2 linked regions of the Arabidopsis thaliana genome follow. The protein of the gene in region 1 interacts with the protein of each later gene in a biochemical or structural test. Each region holds a gene or a part of one and is shown on either strand. Other genes may lie near its edges. The genes, in order: NTT1 and TTL3.

Region 1 (6,741 bases):
TAGTCCTTAATCATACCTGATTATTATAATCTTAAGCACAAAGTTGAGCAATGAAAACATTGATTAATGGTTTCACATCTCAATACACTCAATGAAACAGGGCACCAACCCCTATGAGCGCAGATGGAATCGAAGACATAAGATGCACTCGCAGCTGCCCGCCATTTCGTCATAAGTACTTCTCCATCAAGTCATTTTGGCAAGTCCATCTTAGACATCACGAGGAGCGGCTTCGGAATCGACCTGCGACTCATCACTTGACCGGGAAAACAGAGTTACTGAAGAACAGTCTAACGTTCTTAGCTTCAGTAACAAGTAAAGAACAACTCCACAACCAAATCCTAAGGCGGCACTCGAGCCAGTCATCGACACAGCGGCGCAGACCAGCATGATGAAGGAATCTTCTTTGGAGTTCATGTCTTTGGAAGCCATTGCCAGTTCGATTCCCGCGAATAGCAACAGAACCCCTAAAATTCCAATCGGAAACTGACTCAGAATCCTTACAAAGGAGTTTCCAAACACCAGACCCACAATCAGTTTCCCGATTCCGAGAAAAATAACGGATAATCCACTCCTTGCCCCAAACCGATACTGACCAGCTAACCCACCAGCACCGTGACAGACGGGCATAGCGCCAAACCAGCACCCTATTAAGTTCATCACCCCAACGCTGATGGAGACTGTAGTCGCAGAGAGTTCCTTGTCAAACAAGTCATTGGATAATTTACAAACTGCGATCACTGAGTTCAGTACAGAGAGTGGAATCTGAGGAATCGCCGCCCTCAGAAACCCGATTTTCCAATCATCCCAACTGATTCTCAGAATGTGGAACTTCGAGGGACCGAATTTAAGGTCTTTGAAAATGGATGGATCACGTATGAAACAGAGCACTAACCCGAGTGCGAACACGATCAGCGCAGATGGAATCGAAGACAGAAGACGCAGTCTCCTCCGGCGAGACTGGCTTTCGTTGCTGGAAGTCTCGGCGAGATCTCCATCTTCAGCTTCTCTGTCGTTGCCAGAGCCGGTGGACAAAATGATGAAGAGCAGAGCAGCTAGAGCCAAGATAAGGCCGTCGAGGCCAAGCCAAATACGAGGAGAAGAAGAGGGTTTGAGAGTGGCAGTATCGTAATTAAACCTGACGTATTTGATGGCGGTGAAGGCGAACTGAAGACCTTGAGAAAGCTGGACGCCGCGTACAACTGGGAGAGGGATGATGTTGTAGAGGAAAGACATAGCTCCGGTGGCGCCAAGGAGGAGGAGCGTGGCGGCAGTGGATGCACCAGCGGCGGCAATCTGAGAAGGAGTTAGATGCGGGGATTCGGAGACAGCGACAGCGGCGATGGATTTCATGGGCTGGACGGGCATAGGGATGTCAAAGAGGAGACCGGTGGCGATGTTGTAGAAACCAGTGAAGATGAGAGTGGTGGAGAGATCAAGATTGGAGACTAGAGTTAGTGTAAGGACGATGGGGATGAAGGTGCCGAGATCACCGACAGCGCCGGAGAGTTCAGAAGAAAGAGGGTTTTTGAGGCGGAGACGGCGACGGAGCCACCCGCATCTGCTGCGATCACCGGGGAGCAGAGGAGTTGTAGTTGTCTCCATGATTGGATCTAAAGTCAAAGCTCTCTTTCTCTCTGTTGGTTGACAATTCTATTTGATAAGAAAGATAAAAAGGATTGGGAATCCCCGGGGAAGTTGGATAAAAGACGGCTTTTCAGACACTGGACGAGTCCAATGTCCTAACGACGTGCAAATATCAACCATCTTGTATCTAAAATAAATAATTTATTGAATTTCCCGGGACCATGTGAAAATATTGTTACAACAGTACAACTACCTGCTGTTTTTTTTTTTCGCGCAAACGCTTTCCTTTTTTTCAGGTAGCAATAGAGAGACTCACTCAGCAGCACTCAGTGTTTGTATTGTTTATAACTCTTTTCAAAGACTCCTCGATTCGATTGATGTTAATCAGAAGAAATAAAGCAATTGTCTCAACGATACCCAACTTCACTCATTCTTACTCTGATGAGTTTGAGAGTAGAAGAACTAAATCTATTATCTTTTTGACTTCAACGATACACACAAGGAAGAAACTTAGAACGTGAAACCACATTGAACTGAAAAGAATGTAAGGAAAAAAAAGCTACAGACTATAAAGAGTGAGTGGTGCAAAAGGGCGATTGTTTGAGAGACTGCTCTCAAAATCTTATTTTTGATTCATCATCCTTCTTTCTTTCCCCCCCAACAAAACCAAATATCAAAAAAAAACTTTTTATAAGTTGGTGGGAGCAGATTTCTCCGGTGAACTGCTAGGAGATTCTCCAAGGGAACCGTTTCCGCTTTCGTCCTGAGACACGACAGGGATCTTCACCGATGAAGCTCTCTCCATTTCCTTCTCAAGCTCTTCTTCAGACCGCAAGCTGTTGAACTGTCCCTCCAGCGACTTAGCTGCAGCTAACCACGCAGTGACAATAACCAACAAGATCATTCCTAGATACGGCGTTGAATTCGCTAGTGATCCAAAGGATAAGATCATGAACTGCTGTATTAAAGCTCCCCCTGATTTCCCTAATGGGTTGCAGACCACGTCAATCGCAGCTTTGCCTTTAACCTGCACCACATCACAATGGCTAAAGACCACAACTTTCATGCCATATAGATTCCTTAAAAGAGAGGAAAAGTTAGCAAACCTTGGTGTCCTCATCCAATGGGATATAGGCCATTTCTTTGCAAGGGTCGAACAAGCTGTACTTGGCACTCTTGCTGAAGATATTCTGAAGGGCACCGACATACACAGCTGCAAGTAGCGGTGTCATACCAAGCTTGGCAACAAGTGGTGCGAATGGGCCGCCAAACAATATTAGAGAGAAGAACGCAACACCAGTCAATAGCAGAACAGTTGGGGTGATCTTTGCAGCTACTCCCCAACCATACTTATTGAATACGTATTGGCTGAGAAGCATCATTGTGAATGTTGCAACACCCGTGCAGGTTGAGAAGTCTCCCATAAATGCTGAGTACTCATTCGGGCTAGGGAACTGCAGAGCATAAGAAGGAACTTAGAAAATGGAAACATCGAGAATAAATCGACAGATGCATGAGGAGCTGTATATATTTACCTGAGCTTTAAGCTTTGATTTCCATGTGACTTCCACAAGATTGATACTAATACCGTATGCCACCACTAAAGTAGCAAGATCTCTAATGTATGGTGATGATACCAAGAACTTCAAGCTTTCCATCGTTCCCATCTTCGGTTTCTCCTGTAAAGTGAGTAGCAGAGAGACAATAAATCAGAAGAAGAAGAGTCATAAAGTGAAAAAAACAGAACACAAATTTCTGCAGACCATACCTTCTTGTTCTTGCTACGGGTTGGAAGAGGAACATATCTATTGACCCACCAATAGAGGAGACAAATGGCGAGTCCCATTCCCACCACAATGCTCATCATGGCTTTCAACGAAACTGCCCAGCCGTCAACTCCAGGACCAAGATTCTTTCTCAAGTTAGAGAAGTATTTCACGGTTCTTCCTGAGAAAATCAGTGCAACATTGGCTCCAAGTCCGAACAAAGGATAGAATTTCTTGGCTTCATCCACAGTTGTGATCTGCAAAGAGATAGAAGCAATGCTTTAAAACACACACATCACCGCTTGTAATCATATTCAGTGCATCATTACACATCAAAGTCGGTAGCAATCAAAGACTATTATCATCAAATCATAAACACACCAATCTGTCAAACAACAAATGAAGATACACAAAAATCCATAGACCAGCACAAGTTCAAATGATAGACCAGTTTAGTCACCTGATTAGCAAAGCCCCAGAAGAGAACTGAGACCACCACACTACCCCAAAGCTCAGCCATAACATAAAACAAACAGAAACTCCAAATCCGCAATATTGCAATAGGACCCATGAATCTTGGGCCGAGGGTTGTAAGGAGCTTATCTGCGAGAGCTTCCGGGTGAATATAGTTGCTGAGAGGGTACATGACGAAACCAAAGGCCCCAAAGTAGATGATGAAAGGGACAATAACAGTGTAAAACAGAGCCTTCTTGGAGAGAACATTGGAGAGTTTAGTGTAGAGGAGCATAAACCCAATGGCCATAGGAAGATTCACCCAAGTCTTCAAGAAAGGTATAATCTCAGCAGAACTTCCTTTCGCCGTCACCACCAAGACATCCTTTGTATCCCTCAGAATTGTGTAATTGAAAAGAATACAAAAGAACATCAATCCTAAAGGGATAATCTTTTTCAAGGTTGCAACCTCCACACCGAAAATCTTCGGCGAGGCTACAACAGCTGCGGAATCGCCTTCGCCGAAGACAGCTCCGTCGCCAGCAGCCGCGGCCTCCGCCTTGCATATGAACTCGGTGCTTCTCTCTTTGTGGGAAATCGAAATCCCATGCAGGGTTGGCTCAAAGGTTTGAAATTTCTTGTGCCCGTTAAAGGATAGAGACAACCCATGTAGATTTCTTGGCTTCGCGGCGAAAAGTCTCTGCTTTAAGCCATGGGAAGGCTGAAGTTGGCTTCTCACTCCGATGGGTTTGGTGGGTAAAGAGAGAAGCCCTCTGGTTTGAATCACAGCTTCCATCTCTCTATTTCACTCTCTCCCGCAGATACACAGAAGAAAAAATGGGAGAGAAATGGAGGAGGATGATGAGATGGAGAGATGATAAAGGAGACTGGTTGGTTAGTGCAATGAAAGAATATAGTATCGCCAATTGAATATTAACAAATGTGGTGATGTGTATATATCCGGTAAAAGGAAAGGATTTTTTTGAAATTTTCTTTTGCACTTGTAAATGAAATGTGGTAACGCTCACTGTTTTAACTTGTGCTTAATGCAAGGAAAGGCTAATCTTTCGCATTTATCAAATTGGTATCGGGGTAGATCAATTTACGGTGGTGTTGTTGACTGTTGAGGCATGTGAGCTTTTTCATGGTAGCCAACACAGAAATAGTCTCGAGGGTACCCTTCAAATGACTGTAATGACCTTTTGGTATTACTTCTTCTTCTTCTTTTTTTTTTTTTGTTGTTGTGAGGTTTTGTAGTTGGTGGCTACAACTTTTTTCTTTGAGTTGGTGGCTAAATTGGCTATTACTTTATCTATATTAAATCACGTGTCGTTTTTAAAATTAAAATATTAGTTTTCAAGGCTTTTCAAAATCTGAGGGAGTTTAAAATAGTGCCTTCATCGACTTTTACATAACTTGTAATGTTCGGGTACAAATGCAAAAAATATATATATAATTATTATTATTATTTAAAAAACTTATTAAAAATAAACTTTCATTAAAAAAAATATTCGTGTAATGTGGCCAATGTCAAAACAAAATATATATTTCAATTTATGAATTTCCGTAATTGGTCAATAATAAAGTAGTCATCTACACTCAATTGTTTTGATGTCAATTTTTCCCCTTTTTTAAACGTAAAAGAATTTGCATCCTCCTCAGAGTTGACCGCTTATTTCCGACGGCGGTCCAAAATAAGGACGTCAAACGAAATAAGATGACCAAACTCTTTACTTTCACCCCAAAAAAAAAAAATGACCAACTCTTATACATTCTAGAGGAATATTTTGTCCTTTTCAGAATTATCCTTTTCAGAATTATCTTTTTTTCAGAATTATCTTTTTTTCCCTTGCATCCAACTTTAATATCGCATAATTATATTCTAGGGACCAATTAGAAAACATATATGCGAACTTTCGTTGTGAAATAATATACATCAATAAATACATTCGTTGAGAATAAAATGGAAATATTTTTCAAGAGGTGCATGTAGGTGATACGTCGTGTTTCAATTATGATTTTTTCAAAGAGGGTCTTTTAAGAAAATGCAAATATTTAGGAGAAAGCCACTACCAACAATATTTGAATGGTCATCGGGCGGCATCATTAGCTTGTTTATTGGAGTCGAATCGAACCCATATGTAGGTCCACCTAATAGTGCAATTTTTTGAAAAATAAAATAAAAAACATAATTTGGTAAACACATATATACACGTTGTCGATGATATATATGGTCGAGAGGATAATTGAGAGCCGTGGGATGAAAGAGACGGCTCCGATTGTCAGTTTTACAAGTTGCCGAAGAAATATCCAAAGGCATGGAGCGTATTGCTGCATTGTTTATGGCTTAGGAAGATCCGATACTCTCTCCTCTCGATTCTGTCTTTCTTTATTCTCTTTTTTTTCTTATAGAAACATTAACACTTGTGAAGTGGGACCAAATCATTTCACGAGGAGTACTAGTAACCCTTTTTAACAACGCAACGGTACCGATATCTTCCACGTGGCCAATAGTAAACGGTTCTAGAGATGTAAATAAGGAGGCACTTTTGCTCAGACACATAATGACAGAATCGTGTTATAGAGAGAAACGGTGTTTTATTGAGACACGTCACACACCTTCTCTTTACCTGCGGCTGTGACAGCTGCCTGCATCTTTCCCGTATTTTTCAGATATTTCTCTCTTTTTCTTTTTTTCTCGTAAACTAAAAATCCTCCGACGGCTCCGCCTTTGCCACGCCATTTTTGAACTTATTATTAAGCTTCCTGTTTCCTTTTATACAAAAATGATCACATAGTGAGTAACGCCCACACGCTACAAATTTACCATTTCGAAAAAGACTAATACATCTCTTTTCAATCTATGTTTATATTAAAAAAAAACAAAATCCTAGTTACGATTTTCGTAATTTGAGTTTGGTTCATAATTTGAAAT
Region 2 (17,588 bases), on another chromosome or scaffold:
CATGATTCCATAGATCTAACCAGTTGTTTTACTTTACATTTAATTTTCAAAAACATATTTTTATGAGTTTCCGGATAATAACACATTGACTTGTACGAATAACTAATGTATATGTTATGGCCGCTAGACATAAGACTATTGTATTATATCTTCTTTTTCATACAATATCATGTAGCTTTTGAGTACCACAAACCACACATCTATATGGTCGAAAGTCTCGACTGTGAATCAAACAATTTATCAAAAAAAAAAAATACAAGAAAATAAGTAAGATGAGTATATAAGTTAGTTAATTGAGATCCAATTTCGAAGGCAACACGAAGCGAATAATTTAGTCAATAACTCAATATATAGAACCAATCAATAATAATCTGCTGGAGATTGAATTGTTCAATAATTGATGAGAAGGAGATTATAAAAAAAAAAAAAAATGGTCCACCCACGTTTCGCCATTTTCAATCTCTCATGATAATCTAAATAAGTGACAGAAACATACTGGCGATAGTCGTTTGTTTCTTTACACACTGATATACCAATACTTTTTTGAGTACTATACTATTATGAGCTGTAAAAAGAAAGCCAATTCATCAAGTTTACTCGTTCGTATGAGTTTTAATACGATCGTTATATGTGTTAAACTGTTAATTAATACATTATTTGATTTTATTCTAACTTTTCATACTAAAAATGCCAATCGTTTCGTTCGTAGACCTGAATTTATAAAAAAAATTGAAATGCTATTAAAAAAAGTTATGTCCCTTTAAACTTCTGATCAGATTTCAGCTGTACATATTTTGTTATTTATTGCTGCAAAATTTATACCATTATGACTAGTATTGTTCTAATAATCGTTATAAATATTTAGGCATGAACAGTTTGAGGATTCACATACTTAAATTAATACTAGAACCAGGTTAATTTGGGCTATAAAGTCTCACTAATAAAGATTTGGGAATTCGAAGGTCATTAGTGAAGTGACACAAACCGGAACTTGTGAGAATAATGGATTTAAGGCAGATTTGACAAGAAAGTGTGGAATTGAGCAAACTCATGTCGTCATAGGCTCATATACATATCTACATTTGTATTGTCCCTATCACAATACTTTATGCCCCTACCTAGCATCCGCCATATCATTCAATTCAACTCTCGACTTAAATGATTTCCTTAAATATTGAGAAAATAAAATAAGGATTCTTCTTTTTGTTGGTACTATCGCAAATAACAGATGGGTCCATTTTCGTCAACGGAAGAACCAAAGAAGGCTCTATCTGGGCCTGTAGACATAGGATTGAGCCCATTTATCCATGGATTAGATTATTATGTCACAGATGTTTTTAAAACTGAATACTCAAGATAATGCAAGCGAGAGGAGTGTGTCTTTCATGTTGAACAACCGCGAGAATCGGGTCAAGAAAACGAGCCCTGTGGTTTTACGTCTTGACCTATTAGATCTGGTGCACAATGGTGCTCCTATCAACACAGACCAGATTAGCAACTTCTCTGATTCAGTCCATATAGCTATCAAAGTATGTGCCAGCAGATACAGATACTTGCGTCAGTTTAGTAACTGAGAAAACGTGGATTTATCAGAAGCCTTTTTATTTTAATTGAATAAACTCTAGTTGTCGTGTGTGTGTGTGTGTTAAGATAATGAAAATGTCTTTATTTTGGTTCTAGACTCCTAGTCTTAGTTAAATCGAATCTAACTGGATGTGTTTGAGAATAAACCAATCAAATTAGTCATTTTTGGTATTTCTTGTTTAGATCAAGTATAAAAAGATTCATATAGTAATAAAGATTTAAGGAAAAAGGAAGAAATGGCAGAGCATAATGCTTATTTTGTCTCTCGCTTTTTCGGTTTTTTTGTATGAGGTAAGACTCAAAATTATTTGAATCACATGTTAGAGTTAGCGGCATGTGCCAATTTCCCACATTTTCATTATTTCTCTAGTGTTATTTCTCATAAGATTTTGCTGATAGAAAAGATATCATTTCACCTTTATATATATATGTAGTAGATGTTAAGGAAAAAATTACGAAAAAGAGAATAAAAGATAAGAGAAATTCGATCTCAATGGTATGATGGCGTGACTGAAGTAACAGAGAAAGACAAAGAACAACATGTGTCACCAATCATGTTGTTTAACTCTTTCCCCCACATTTCATGTTCATTTATCCTAAAAGTCTAAAACAGCCATTTGCCCATTTCTATATCCAGGTTTTTCTTTTCTTTTCTTTTCTTTCGTTTGCGTATTTCCATTAATTTCTTTTGATAAATTTAAAATGTAACTAGTTCTTCTTTGATTATACTTGATCGCACCAACCAAAAAATACATGGTAATACAAATTAAAGTCACATAGTAATAAAAAATATAGTGTAAATTATGGAGTGGCAAAATTTCTATCTAACTATAACAAAAACTGTTAATTTGGTGATAAAAAAACACACAAATAATCTCGCTTACAAGTTACAACTAGAGGGTGAATATTACCATTAACTCACTATCCTCCTTTTGTATACGTGTTTCTGCAAATTACCATTTTTATTGGTTCATTCAAACATACATTATTTTTGTTAAGAGTGTGAGGCCTTGAGAGTTGAGAGACTATAAACTTTTTTCGATAAAAAGTAGACTTAGACTAGATCTTAACTTTTGCACACAAAAAGAAAGGAGACTAGATCTTAACTAAAATATTATCAACAAAATGTTTATCTTCGGACTGGGACACATGGAAATGTGTATGTTTTTGCAGGCATATATTTGGTCGTTTAAGTCTTCATTTCAACTAGATGAAACAAAAGCAGAAACATATGAGGAATACCAAAGATTTTTTCTCTACTGGAAACGACAAAAGGTTCATATTATCATATATAGAGTATTGGAAAATGTTAGCTCTTGTGATTACTAATTAGTCGTAAGGTATTAAGAATACATATTGCCAACAGTGAACTGAAGAAACTAGTGAACCCACACAAAAAAAATATAGTTCAACTTTTCTTTTGTTAAAAAGTTTCAAACGTTATTTTCTAGTTTTAAAACGTCATTTACCAAACTCTACATAATTGCATTAAATCAAAAGGTATGCGTATAGTTTTACCCTTACCCTTCAAAATTTGAGACATGGTGCATGTGGAATGTTTTGCACAGCACACATACACTCCCTCATTTACGAAAAGTTCATCAATTATTTTCTATTTTATTTTAAAACATTTTCAAAGAAAACAAGTAACATACTTACAAATAAATATATTAGTTTTACTCCCTTTTATTAGAAAATTAAGTTTTGTAACTAAAAGTGATGGTATTTTGATAACAGATTATAAAGAAATCTCAAATTTATTAAGCTTTTTCCAATAATAGCTACTACGATTATTTATCTTACTAGCTAGTACTATTAAAAAAAAAAATCTCTTAATTAGTACATGAATAGGTATTCCAATATACCTTTAGATTTCAATTATGTATTGTTTTAAATTTTAAAGAGTGGTAATATGAAATAAATTAAATTGTTGATGGAGATGATGATGAAGGTAAAGAAGATTCATATCATATCAGCATATGCTCACATGATAGAGCATCTAACCTCAGGTGGCAACAAATAACATCATGGCAATATATAATTGATCTATTAAATTTAGTTATACATACGGATATGATCAATTATCCAAACATGCAGCTGTTTTTCTAATTTTAAAGATATTTCTTTTCTCAAACTACATGAGTCTACAGTTCTTATAACTTGGCTTCTATATATAATCTGAAAGCCATCATCATACATCCATTGGCCAAAGACTAGACCAAAAGTATTACCACCAACGTTTTTGGTCACGTACCAGTTTTAGAATTTAGATGAACTATTTCACTCTAAAGCAAAGTACTTGTTTACTTTAGAAAATTAGAGTAAACGAATGTTAACTTAAAAAAATTTCGGGTTGACAAAAATAAAATGCGAGTTGGACGGTAATGCGATCTACATATATTCTTTGCTTGGACTGACATTATGATCTTAATAATTTGTAAATAAAAATTAAAATAATATTGATGAAACATAGGATACCCTTAACTAAGAATCATAGTGGTTAAGACAAGCGTGGATTAGCTTTTAGTAAACTGATTAATCGAATAATAAAGAAAACCAGATAATTTTCTTACGTTTTTGTATATATAATCAAGAATCATGGAGATACACATAGATAAGAAAGATTATAGCACGAACACGAATGCATGTATTAGGCAATAAAAATATCGTTAGTTAGAAAACAGTACATATATAAATAATTCGTGTAGTATTTTGACTAAGGAATTGTCTTAATAGAATTAAGCAGTTACAAAGTTTTATTTACACAAATATTTTTTCCTCTCGGCACACCTTGAATCAAATCAAGCATCGTTTAAATTAAATTACTGTAATGGATTAGATAAGTACTAGTAATAAGTAAAGTATGTTTGCCGACGGGTGAAATTGTAAAAAAGATTGGATACTTTCTTTTGTTTGATATGAAACTCGAATCTCGTGATTAAAAAGATGGCCCGACAGTGATTTAATGAGAGTCAACAAAAAAGATGTAAAACACATTATTAGCAACTAATTGTACTTTATTTTTATAATTTTCACACGTTTCCTCTTTTGTCTATTTTGATTGGGGTCATTCATGCTCAAACATTACAGCCTGCGCATTGTATTATGTTTTGTATGTCTCCGGCGGAACAAACAATGTGACATGCGTTTGAATAATCAGTCTAATTGTATGATTGGTGTGTTCATTCGCTATTAATGCAAATGGTGTCCAAATTATTAAATTTTGAGTTAAATCCGTGGAGAAATAATATTCCTTTCATTTTAAAGCAAGTGTCGTTTTAGACTGATTTTTTTTATTTATGTCGTTTATGAATTAAGATAATAAAGAAGTATTAATAAAAATGTGAGACATAAATATATAATTCTGAAAGCCAATCTTATCTTCAAATGCACATTTCACTTATACGTATTCAGTATTCTGCCATTCAACAAACCCATAATTTATTTTGTCTATGGTAAAAAAAACGCATATAGTCAGTCATATTAGAATTATTTTACGAATGTAATTTTTATTGCTACTTATCATGTATGCTTAAGTGAAAATAGTGAGTCACTATCGTCATTCGTCACCCATCTCATGCTTGGCGTTGGCGGGCTCGAGGTCAGTTTTCGAATAATCCGTCGGTGTTAACAGAATAATCCGTTATTGAAAAACTAAACGCCGTTAACGGAAACTGTGTGCTTAGCTGGCAGACACAGCAGAGAAGTCAATAACCAGCTGGCATGATCACCGTTTTGCAATTATCCCCATAATTACCGCAACACCCTTCTATTTTTTTATCCTTTTTTTTCTTTAATTAGTATTTACTATTTATTATCGTTATGTTCTTAATTATCCTATTATTGTTTTAAATATTTTTATATAGCGAAATAATTTATTTAAGAAAAAGTCAAGAGAAAATTAATTGACTATATATGGAAAATAATTTGAGGGTGCGAGGCATGACCTAGCTAGAGAAAAATAAAATAAAATGAAGGCATGCATGGTGCTTGGTTCAATGTAATTAGTGGTTCCGTAGGTCTGAACGGTACGGACTGGCCATGATCTACTAGAAACAGTAAATAGTTAATACAAAGTAATTAATTATGAGTTTCAGCAAATTAACTACTCTATATCGAATGAATTAAACAGTAATCCCCAGAAAAGAAAAAAAGAGAACTATGACAGCCTTTTCAAAGGACACCCGAAAACCAAAATGAAGATTTTAAAAATGCCAGCTCTGCAATAGATATTGAACTTTCATTTGTAATTTTCTTTATTTTTGTTGCATTACACACATTTGTTATTTACATTTAAATTGGCTATTGCAATAAAAGATTACTTTATATGCTTATAATAGTACAATATATATGGTGGCTTAAACAAAAGTTTGGCTGGCTTGATAAATACATCTTACATCGAATGACGATTTTACCCTCTATCTTGCTGTCTCTGAGTACGAGGGTTGAAATCCTTACGTGGCATTTTTTCTCATTTTTCTTGGTCAAATAGTTTAACCAAACTCCAAAAGTCTGTGATTTGTTGACATACTTCTAACTAATTTTTTTTTATAATAAAAATCTATTGTATCTGTAGAAATAATCATTAGATTTACTTTCTAGAATATAACTTCTTATTTCTTAGTAATTTGTCCAGATTTTTTTTTACAACTAACTAAACACTAGTTAAAATGTTAATGTCTAAAAAATACCATTACAATTATTCAATTTAATAAAAATTGAGTCGGCCAATTTAATGCGAGACTTCTGTACAACGACCCTAAAAGTGGGTTTGATAAATGAAACATATTGCAACAAAAAAATACTAGTAATAATGATAAAATAGTAACATGTCGTGGCGCATTGAATATCCTACGAAGGTTTAGTGTTTACTTTTAAAAAATCCTAATATGATACTAGTACATATAGCTAGCTTGCCTTGCTTATGCTATTGCATAGTCTGTATTAATAAATGATGTTATACATTTCGATAGAGTAACATTTTGGGAACATGAGTGAACGTGCTTGAATCTTCGTGCCCTTGACGTCAGAAGCTAGTAATTTTAAATACTAATTAACATTCATACAAATTAACAGATACAATGTACTATATCATAATTCGTTTCCGTAACACAACGCAACAATTTGAAAGTAGATGTACTTTAGTACTTAGTTAGTGTGCACCAAAAAAAAAAGATGTAGTTAGTTAGTAAGGGGTTAAATGTTTTAATTTATTAAGAAAACTTAAATTCATTAAATGTTAGAAAAAGTCTAATTAGTTTATATTCGAACACTGTGCTCAAAATTAAAAAGTCAACTATTTTAGACTATAGAGTTTATTAATTAATAATAAATTCGATAAATCACCGTATTATTTTCTTCAACGACAAGTAGCCGTGAAGACACGGGAGCGAAGAGAGATAAACAGAAGATGAAGAAGAAGATCAATGTCATAATCTTCAGGGAGATAAATCCGTAATCTTTATTAATCAAGGTTAATCCTTTTTTTTTTCTTCATCTTAATTCTTTGCGTCTTCCTTTTCTATTTATCACGAGATCTGTCTTTCTTTTTCCTCTTCTTTCTCTCTCTTCTCTCTGAAGACAGTACTTGTTTCTGTCCGGCGTTAAAAGCTTCGGTGGTGGTCTCTTGACTTCTCTGAGAAGAAGAAAAGGAAGCTGAGTCTCATTTTAGATTCAGCTCACGAGGAAGTGACGACGATGTCTCATTCTAGAAGACTTTCGTTGGAACCTGCTATAGATTCAATCACTGGTCGATTTCGTGATTTACAGAGAAATGATGATGACGTCAACAAACCTGATTTTCGAGAACTCGATCTAGGTTCTCCTGTTTCTACCTTAATGCCACGTGGCTCTGCTTCTTCTTCCGCTGCTGCGACTCCTACTAGCAGCTCTGGCTCTTCTGGCTCTGCTTCTGGTAAACCGTCGGTGAGTTCTCAGATGGCTAAACGGTTAGATGATGCTTACAAGAGTCATTCCGGTGAGCTTTCTAGCCCCGGATCCGGAATGCCGACCACGACCCGGATTCTTAAACCGGGTCATAGAAGATCTTCTTCTACTGGCACGCCTTTGATCTTCTCTGGCTCTAGCTTTACTTCAGCAACGAGTCACACCTCGCCACAAGGAGGTGGTAGCGGTGCTACGTCGGCAGTGTCTCCCAATACTGGCGTTTTACCGGCGGGAAATATTTGTCCGTCGGGTCGGATCTTGAAAACTGGAATGGCGTCTCGGACTTCAAGTAGGACTGAGACTCTATGCACAGGAACTGGTAATTACGGACATGGAAACGTTGTACGCAGCGGCGGAGGAGGAGGAACCAGCGGAAAGGCGGTGAGAGTGGCGGAGAATGGCGAAAACCCGGAGGAGTTGAAGAGAATGGGGAATGATATGTATAGGAGAGGGAGTTTCTCTGAAGCTCTGTCGCTTTATGACAGAGCAATTTTGATTTCACCGGGAAATGCAGCTTACAGAAGCAACCGTGCCGCGGCTTTAACGGCATTGAGGCGGTTAGGAGAAGCCGTTAAAGAATGTCTTGAAGCTGTTAGGATTGATCCTTCTTACTCCAGAGCTCACCAAAGACTTGCTTCTCTCTATCTCAGGTAATCTTGAGAGGCTTTTTGTTTTGTTGCTGTGTTTTTAGTTTAAAGATTGAGAATTTGAAATGATGGAGTGAATTGTTGCTTTAGATTGGGTGAAGCTGAGAATGCAAGACGTCACATTTGTTTTTCTGGTCAATGTCCGGATCAAGCTGATCTCCAACGGCTACAGACGCTGGAGAAGCATCTCCGACGATGCTGGGAGGCTCGAAAGATTGGAGATTGGAAAACCGCGATTAAGGAAACCGATGCAGCCATTGCAAACGGCGCTGATTCGTCTCCTCAGGTGATTACATATCATTGTCGTATGATATGCTTGTAAAGATTTTTGACTAACAGTGAGGTTTTTTCTATTGGTTTGGACAGCTTGTAGCTTGTAAAGCAGAAGCCTTTTTGCGTCTTAAGCAAATAGAGGATTCGGATTTTTGTGTATCTTGCATTCCAAGATTGGATCATCATTACCATTCTCAACCGCAGGTGAAACTCTTTGGTATGGTAGTTGAAGCTTATGTGCTCTGTATCCAAGCTCAAGTTGATATGGCATTAGGAAGGTGAGCTTTCGAAACTCAGAAATGTTGTGATTCTTTGGATTTTTGTTTCTCCACCGGTGAGTGAGTAGATATGATAGGTTTGTTGCAGATTTGAGAATGCGGTTGTCAAGGCAGAGAGAGCTGCGATGCTTGATCAAACCAATCCTGAGGTTGTATCAGTTTTAAACAATGTGAAGATGGTTGTGCGGGCACGTACTCGTGGTAATGAGCTATTTAGTTCGGGGAGATTCTCGGAAGCGTGTGTAGCTTATGGAGACGGTCTCAAGCAAGATGACTCCAATTCGGTTTTGTACTGCAACAGAGCAGCGTGTTGGTATAAGCTCGGTTTGTGGGAGAAATCTGTTGAAGATTGTAACCATGCGCTCAAAAGCCAGCCTAGTTACATCAAGGCACTTCTACGTAGGGCTGCTTCATATGGAAAGGTGAGATTAGAACTTACTATAATCAGTTATTGACAGAATTTTGCAGTGTATTCGAATGACAATGTGTGTTGAAATATATAGCTTGGTAGGTGGGAGGATGCGGTTAAAGATTATGAGTTCTTGAGAAGAGAACTTCCAGGAGACAGTGAAGTTGCAGAGTCTCTAGAGAGAGCGAAAACAGTGCTAATGAACAGAAGCCAAGAATCTAAAAGCCTAGGTTTCAATAATGAAGTTGAAGCGGTTTCGACTTTGGATAAGTTCAAGAAATCCGTAGCACTTCCCGGTAAGTCTAATGAGAAACTTCAATTTGTCTCAAAAGGTTGAGATTTTGCGTGTCTTGCTCAAGTTGGAAACATTTCTCTTCAGGTGTCTCTGTATTTCATTTCAAATCATCATCAAACCGACAATGCGAAGAAATTTCTCCATTCATCAACACTTTATGTCTTCGGTATCCATTAGTACATTTCTTTATGGTAAGAACAAGAACACATTCCAAATATGCTTTTTATATCACATTTTCTTCTAAACTTATATGTATAACCTATGTTTCTCAATGTGTTAACTGAGAAAATGAAATGTTATTAGGTGGATGTGGAGGAGAGCATGGCGTTGGCGAAAGCAGAGAGTATCAGGAAAGTTCCGACATTTAAGATGTACAAGAATGGAGATAAAGTGAAGGAGATGGTTTGTCCTAGCCATCAGTTTCTAGAGGACTCTATAAAGCATTTCCTCTTATGATTGAAAAAGCCCTATCATCATTATCTGCTTCCCTATGATTCGATCCGAATAGCCTATTTAAAAGACTCAGAAAGCATTCTATGTGAAAGATGGGAAAGAGCTCTTCTGTCAAATTCAACAAACTATTCATTCTTTCTTCTTATTCGATTCTAATTCTTCTTTATTTATTTTTTGGAGTTTGGCTCTGCTTGCTTTGGCATATTACGTATGGGTAAATGTTCGCAATGATTCAAGAAATGCAAGCTTCATTATCTATTTACGCTTGGCTTGTGTATGCTAGATTATTCACCACACCAGTGAAAGAAACTGAACAGAGTTTACTGTATTTGGTGTTGTTGATTCAATCAGTGACAGAATATGAATCAGAGAGTACCGAATCCAATCAGCTTCTATCTCAGCAATTCAGAAATGAAGGAATATAAGTTTCAAGATTGGATCCATAAGGATAGATAGTAAGACGACAGTAGTGAATTACAAATAAGAGTGTCCTGAGACAGGCATGCAATACATTCAAACCAGAGAGACATTTAGGGCTAAACCAGAGTACAAGTAACATAGACAATCATGATATAGGGAACAGAGAAACTCTACTTTTCACTATTATTCACCGCACATTCAGTTCTTGAAACATATTGTCCAGGTGCACACATATCATATCACTGCAACATAAGCAAAGAAATCTTGAATCAAAATCGGCTTATTTTAATTTGATTTACCCCGAGTAAAGGAATCTCTTATACTTACCTCTGCATCGTCTCCACCAGCACCAGGTTTGGCAGAACCATTCGTCTTATGAGCATCGTCTCCTGCACACAAATGCAAAATTAACAGTTGAAGTCCAAGTGAAAATATATATTGATAAAAACTGGCAATCGTCTTCCAGATGCTATTTCAACTATCTATCATCAAGAATGTCCATGGATATGCTTAAATTGTCTTATAGATTCATTGGTTTCAAGTAAATCAACACTACACATAAGAAATGACAATGAACAAATACACCTAGAATGGAAAAACACCAAAGAGCAATTGTGTAAGACATCAAAACATCATATTTAAAGAGTGTGCTTAGGTCCAGAGTGATGATCATTACCTCCTTCTTCTGAGATGTCAGAAGTCCACAAGGTCAGATTGTCCCTAAGGAGTTGCATTATTAAGGTGCTATCTTTGTAGGATTCCTCGTTCAGAGTGTCAAGCTCTGAGATAGCTTCATCGAACGCCTGCTTAGCAAGGTGACATGCCCTGAAGAGAAAAGAGCAAGAAAAAAAAATCTCAAATCTCCAAAACAATGAGTCTTTTTTCTTATCTTAGTAGTATAATTAACAATCTGTAAACCTTTCAGGTGCGTTCATGATCTCGTAGTAGAAGACAGAGAAATTCAAAGCCAAACCCAATCTGATAGGGTGTGTTGGAGGGAGCTTAGCCTCAGCAGCAGTAGTAGCAATCTGTAAAGGAAAGAAACAAACAAAAACTCAAAAGTAAAGTAACGAAAAACCAAGAATGTCCAGTGATCAATAACACTACAAATCACTATAAGAACACCTCATAGGCTTTCAAAGACTGATCAGCAGCCTCTTTCCTCTCGTTCCCTGATTTGAACTCAGCAAGATAGCGGTAATAGTCACCTTTCCTACAAAAACCAAAACAAAATCTTCAGACACACAACCTTAAGTTAAACACCATGTAAAGAAGCATTATAGAGCTTACATCTTGTTGAAGAAGACAGTAGATTCACCCTCGGAAGCCGAAGGAATGAGATGCTCATCTAAGACAGACATAATATCAATGCATATGTTAGAAAGCTCTAACTCAACCTTCTCCATATACTCTTTGATCCTCTTTACATTAACATCATTCCCTTTCACTGCTTCCTTTTGTTCAATCGACGAGAAGATCCTCCACGAAGCTCTCCTTGAACCAATCACGTTCTTGTAACCCACAGAGAGTAAGTTCCTCTCTTCCACCGTCAGATCAACATTCAATTTCGCAACACTTTTCATTGATTCCACCATTTCTGTGAAAAAAAGAATTCACATTTTTCAATACCCATCTGCTAAAAATCAAGACTTTTGAATCTAATTCCTTGATAAGAAGTTCCCCATTCGTAAACTCTCAATCAAACCAAACGATTGAAACCCGTTCGATGATATCAAAGTCCAGTAAAATCAAACAGAAATCGAGCTCAAGAAGCTATCAAAAAGACCTGATTCGAGTGAGAAGAAGAAGAAGAAGATTCCTTACCTTCATAACGCTCAGCTTGCTCAGAGAGCTTAGCGAGGTAGACGAAAGTGTCACGCTCTTTTCCAGAACCCATGACTGATTTTCAAGATTCTCGAAAAATCAAAAGTATCAAATTCCAAAGCTTTTGACGACTGATCCGAGTATGTATATCTCTCGGCGAACGCTGTTCTTTTGTTTTATTTTTTCTCCAGAGAAGAGAGAGATCTTTGAGACGCGCGTAGGGACACAAGCGTAATTAACGCGGGTTAAACGGGGTAATTACTACTCAATGGTCTGTGTCAGTAAGTGATTTTATTCATTATATTATTCCTCGTGGGATCCATTTGGTTCTTCTCTGTCTAACCATATCATGACATGTCATCACTCTCTATCCACCAGTCCACTCATTTTAATTGTACTTTATCTTCTCAGCACAATTTTATATTTTATTCAAATAATGGACTATATAACATTAGAAGGAATTAATCTTCATTAGGGAATAACTAAGGAACTGTTTTTCCAAAAAAAATGAATTTAATGACATACCTATTTTGTCCAAATTTTCGTGTTTAAAATTTAGAGTTTATTTTTTGGATTTAAGTGTTTAATTTTTGGAGTTTATATATTACGAATGGTAATTTCAACATCTTAGAACGAAAAGAAAGATTTCTTTTCTTGTTTCTTTCAGAAATATATTTCCTAGATATGGTAACATAACAACAATAGAATAACACAAGAAATTATCATACTCATTAAAAAGCGTACGGGATAGGAGTTGGAGAGATTTCATCACATCATAGAACATAATACATTACATAGCGTAGATTTAGGGAATGGTACAAGAACGTTTTAAACTGCCTTAACCGGTGTTTTGCATACCAGCAGCGATACCCTTCATGGTGAGGATAACCGTATCTTCAAGTCCCGGTGCGTATTCACTCTTTGGATTCAGTTTCACGAGCTCAGCCGCTGGACTAGACTCCATGTAGTCCTTAGAGAGATGTGGCCGGACTTTGACGTGGAAGCTTGGGTCACGGATCTGCTTGAGTGTATAGGCTTGACACACGTTCAATGTCGTGATGTATGGGTCACGAAGCTGCAGCCTTTGCCTCAAGTAAGGGTCACCTTCTAAAATGTCTTTGTGACCTGCAACCTGGAAAGGTACGAAACGCACGGGTTAAGTTAGCTTGTATGGTCTGACACCGCATGGAAACCGGATGGGACATCTATAATGTGGTTATAGTGGAAGTAAGTAATACCTGGAGGAGGAGGCGTCTGGTCTCTTGGTAGTTAACTCGAAGTTGTTCACCGAATGGTTGAAGTTCTTCAGAGACGAGGAGGCGGTCATACAGAGCCGCAATTCCGGGATCTCCTTTGGCGAAAACCATTTCGACTAGATCAATTGTGACACGGAAGAATGGCCATTGGTTGTACATCTCTTTGAGCATGTTGAGATTCTTACTGTCCTTCTGTATCACGCGTTTGAATGCTCCTCCAAAGCCAAGCCACACGGGTAAGTGAAACCTCGTCTGAGTCCACGCAAAGATCCACGGGATTGCACGCAGCGACTCGATTCCTCCGCTTGGTTTACGTTTTGATGGTCGGCTTCCTATGTTCATCCTTCCATACTCGAGCTCTGGTGTTGCCTATAATACAAACCCAAACCTGAACTTAGACTCTCTTTTTTAACTACAATTTGTTTAAGAGAGGAGTAATTGAGCTGGTTAAGAACTTACCAGACGGAAGTACTCAACAAAACGGGGCTCCTTGAAGACAACAGAACGGTATTCTTCAGTGGCAATTATAGCCATTTCATCCATGAGGACACGCCACTCAGGCTTAGGGGAAACCGGTGGATGCATTCCATGCTCAAGTGTTGCAGCTGTGAAACGCTGAAGAGTCCTAAAGCATAAGTGCTCTTCTCCGAAAGACTGTTCAATAACTTCACCTTGAACCGTTACCCTCAATTGCCCATGAATGGTATCCGGAGGCTGAGACAAAATAGCAAGATGGGTAGGTCCACCTCCTCGTCCAACGGTCCCACCTCTTCCGTGGAACATTGTCAGCTTGACTCCGTATTCTTTTGCCACCTTCACGAGCTCTTCTTGAGTCTTGTATAACTGCCAAGCCGCTGATAAACGACCAGCATCTTTGCCCGAGTCAGAGTACCCGATCATGACTTCTTGCTTTCCATTGATCCTGTTTCTGTACCATTCTATGGAGAAGAGACGGGCAACTGCAGCAGGTGCGGATTCTAAATCCGCTAGCTTCTCGAACAACGGGACAACTCTCAGAGGATCAGTGATCCCGCATTCGCGTTGCAAAAGCTCAACAGCGAGCACGTCTGATGGAGCAGTGGCCATTGAGATAATATAAGCACCAAAACTATCCGAAGGAAGCTCAGAAATGACTTTGAAAGTGTCCAACACATCTGCAACCTCTTCGGTTTTGGGAAGATCCGGTCCAAAGAGAGGGCGTTTCCCGCTTAGCTCAGATAACAGCCATTCCTGTCTTTTATCCTCCGACCATTCTTTGTAAGAACCAATACCTAAGTGCGTCGTGATGGCATCCAAGACATCAGAGTGTCTTTCAGATTCTTGACGGATATCAAGTTTCACAAGAGCAAGGCCAAATGTTGACACTTGGCGTAAGAAATCAAGCAGGCTTCCATCAGCAATAGGTCTGTCACCGCAATCACAGAGCGACCTGTAACAAAGCTCAAGTGGCTCCAAAAACTTTGGATAGAAACAGAAACAATCAAAGGTTAGAAAATTATAAAATCAATCAAACAAGAAACAAACAACAGCTTTGATCTTAGAGTGGTTCAATCCATATTTTGGTTCTCTTTTGGTTTGGGATTTTCAAATTTAGAAAAATAGTTACCAAATAAACTATGCATCAGTATGGTATAGCTTCCATGTTTAATCAAATACGATTCTAATTTTCAAAGGAATTGAAGTTGCAGTTATATGGCTTAAACATCTCTAGTTGATCTGCAAACAGCACGAAAACACACCTGATCCACACTTGTGAAAACCGCGTCTTCGGGAACGTCCGAAACTCCGCTTGACAATAACTGACGTGCACGCTCACGTGTGTTGTACAGCTTGTCCCTCACATCTCCAAGAATAGCTCGGTATGGCTCATTCGCAGGGATTTGTTTCCAGAATTCTACATCCATCCAAAAATCGATCATACATCAAACATAATATAACAAACTGTTAACATGTCGGACACATAAAAAAATGTCAAGAATGTAACACACACCTATATAGTGTTTTGCATCCCTCTTCGCACATCTTTGACGTTCTGCACGAACCCGAAGTTCCTCATTGCAACGCCACATAGACATCTGCAAACAAACACATCAAACCAAAAAAAATAAGATCTCTGTCCTTAACATTAACCAATAAACTAAATTGCTGTGATGTGAATAAAATTTTTGCTACCTCAAACATAAGATCTTCTATCTGGGAGAAGTAGAGATTAGCAGCCATCATTCTAGCTAATAAGCATACATCTCTTGTAACTTCAGGAGTTACTCGCGGGTTTCCTAGATTCAGAAAATGTTTTCACTCATAAGAACCAATTCATGTTTTAATGGTTTGAGATAAGAAAGAAGCAAGAGTGTACCATCACGGTCTCCGCCCATCCAAGAAGAGAACTGAATGAGAGGCGCATTGTAAGGAACACGCTCGTTGATTCCAATGTTCTTTAAAGCTGTGTCAACACGTCTTAAGAACTTTGGAACTCCTTTCCAGATTGTCTCATGGAAGTAGCTCATCCCTGCTCTCATTTCATCTTGCGGTGTAGGAGGAGTTCTTCGGATTTCATCTGTGCGAAAAGCAGCTTGAATCTGGTGCAACAAAAACAGAGTTTTAGTAGAATTCATGCAAAAGAAGCTTTATTGAGTTCTTTAGTTTCGCTTACCTCTCGTTGCAGAGCTTCATCGAGTTCTTGTTTGTCATCAGGAGTAATGTCCTTTGCATATAACTGCGTCAAACAATCACGAATCCTGAAAACATTTGAGACAAAAAAATACATCAGTCAAGTCACACACACAAGGAATCCAAAATGTCAAGACACTAAAAAAGTTAAACAAACCTTCCAAACTTTTGGAGCAAAGACCGACGAACAGATTGAGTGGGATGAGCAGTTAAAACCAAGTCAACAGTCTGATTCTTAAGAGCATCAAAGACCTCTTCAGGAGTCTTGTTAAGCTGCAAAAGCCTCTTGAGAGTCTCTTCAATGTCAGATTCCGTTGTTGCAGAGGCCTCATCAGCGAAATCACCTTTCTTGAGTTTCTTAATCCTACGCCGGTAAGCAATCTGGACTTCCTCAGCCAGATTAGCCAAGCTAAGCATGTTGGAGAATGATTTAGTGACAACAATTGAATCCCCTGGATCCAAACTCGTCAGCATATTTCCAAGCTCCTCAAGCTTCTCAGTGTTGCGGTTTCCATCGTAATCAGCTGCAACTTCGTAGCATTCTTGAACCTTTTAGACAAAACAAAAGACATTATATGATTCAGTAAACTGAAAATCATCAGAAACAATCACAGATGCAAACTCAATGAGCCACTGAAGCAAACAAATATACTCACAAACCCAACAAAAACAGAGAATAACATGAACAATCTTAACACAGTGTGATCTGATCTGCTCGATATCACTGAAAAGGATTCAACTTTATGGATAATCTAAGCAGAAACAACAAACCCACATGATGATTCACTGATGGGTAACCCACTATGTAACTAAAAGTTCAAAATTTTAGCAAAAATCCAGTATTTAAGAAAGAAGAAAGAGTGAGAAAAGGAGGAAAACATACGAATTCTCTGACATCCTCGCCATGCAAATCCTGAAGAATATCGAGAAATCGATCCAGTAACAGAGCATCGTACTCGATAAGCTTGTCGTCTTCAGAAACCTTGCCAGGAGCAAGAAGCCTGAGCTGAGCATCAATAGAAGCCATCTTCTCCAAATTTCTCGCAGCCATGGTTTGGTTGATGCTTTTTCCTCTCTCTCTATCTGATTAAAAACGCTTTTGGTTAAGTGAGGGAGAGATTCTCAATAATTTTCCAGATTGACCACAATCGGAGAAAATCAAGGAAATATATCCGATAAAGCTGGAACAAAAAAAACAAAAAAGATTCACTTTAAGATAAAATTATGGAGTTTATAAAAATTTAAACGAGACAAAAAAAAAAAGAAGGAGTGGCGTATTACTGGAGTGGGAAGTGTAGTATTCTCGTGATACCGAAAAACAGGTGAAAAAAAAGAAAAGAAGATCGAGAAGTTTCGTTCACGAGGAAGACGATGGAAAGAGAAGCGACAGGCTAAAAAAGTTTCAAAGGATTTTTTGGTTTTTCTTTTTAAAAAAATATAAGAAGCGAAAATTTTCTAGTCCATTCGATGTGTAGTTGTAACTTATTTATAGCCGAAATCTTTTTTTCTCTCTTAGACTTTAATCAAATTTTA

The links.
Region 2: the proteins of NTT1 (region 1) and TTL3 form a complex in vitro, tested with the Arabidopsis thaliana proteins (one study listed by BioGRID).

The regions. Positions count from the first base shown.
Region 1 is NC_003070.9:30,189,815-30,196,555, reverse strand, and holds NTT1 (nucleotide transporter 1), read right to left. Parts: upstream 5,019-6,741; 5' UTR 4,603-5,018; coding exon 3,814-4,602; intron 3,611-3,813; coding exon 3,356-3,610; intron 3,267-3,355; coding exon 3,123-3,266; intron 3,042-3,122; coding exon 2,694-3,041; intron 2,615-2,693; coding exon 2,276-2,614; 3' UTR 1,951-2,275; downstream 1-1,950. Other genes in the region: AT1G80315 (uncharacterized protein), read left to right, coding at 824-1,132; MOT2 (sulfate transmembrane transporter), read right to left, coding at 211-1,605. UniProt on the Arabidopsis thaliana protein: May function as an ATP importer.
Region 2 is NC_003071.7:17,721,574-17,739,161, forward strand, and holds TTL3 (tetratricopetide-repeat thioredoxin-like 3), read left to right. Parts: upstream 1-6,905; 5' UTR 6,906-7,281; coding exon 7,282-8,180; intron 8,181-8,267; coding exon 8,268-8,463; intron 8,464-8,543; coding exon 8,544-8,728; intron 8,729-8,816; coding exon 8,817-9,150; intron 9,151-9,231; coding exon 9,232-9,433; intron 9,434-9,516; coding exon 9,517-9,623; intron 9,624-9,735; coding exon 9,736-9,888; 3' UTR 9,889-10,263; downstream 10,264-17,588. Other genes in the region: GRF9 (general regulatory factor 9), read right to left, coding at 10,591-10,694, 10,982-11,130, 11,224-11,333, 11,431-11,518, 11,596-11,902, 12,130-12,202; PPC2 (phosphoenolpyruvate carboxylase 2), read right to left, coding at 12,968-13,261, 13,368-13,754, 13,845-14,843, 15,125-15,279, 15,376-15,460, 15,558-15,661, 15,742-15,964, 16,039-16,123 and 2 more. UniProt on the Arabidopsis thaliana protein: Involved in osmotic and salt stress tolerance. May play a role in the control of meristematic cell size during osmotic stress. May function as an adapter protein for BRL2 and may be required for signaling affecting leaf vascular tissue pattern formation.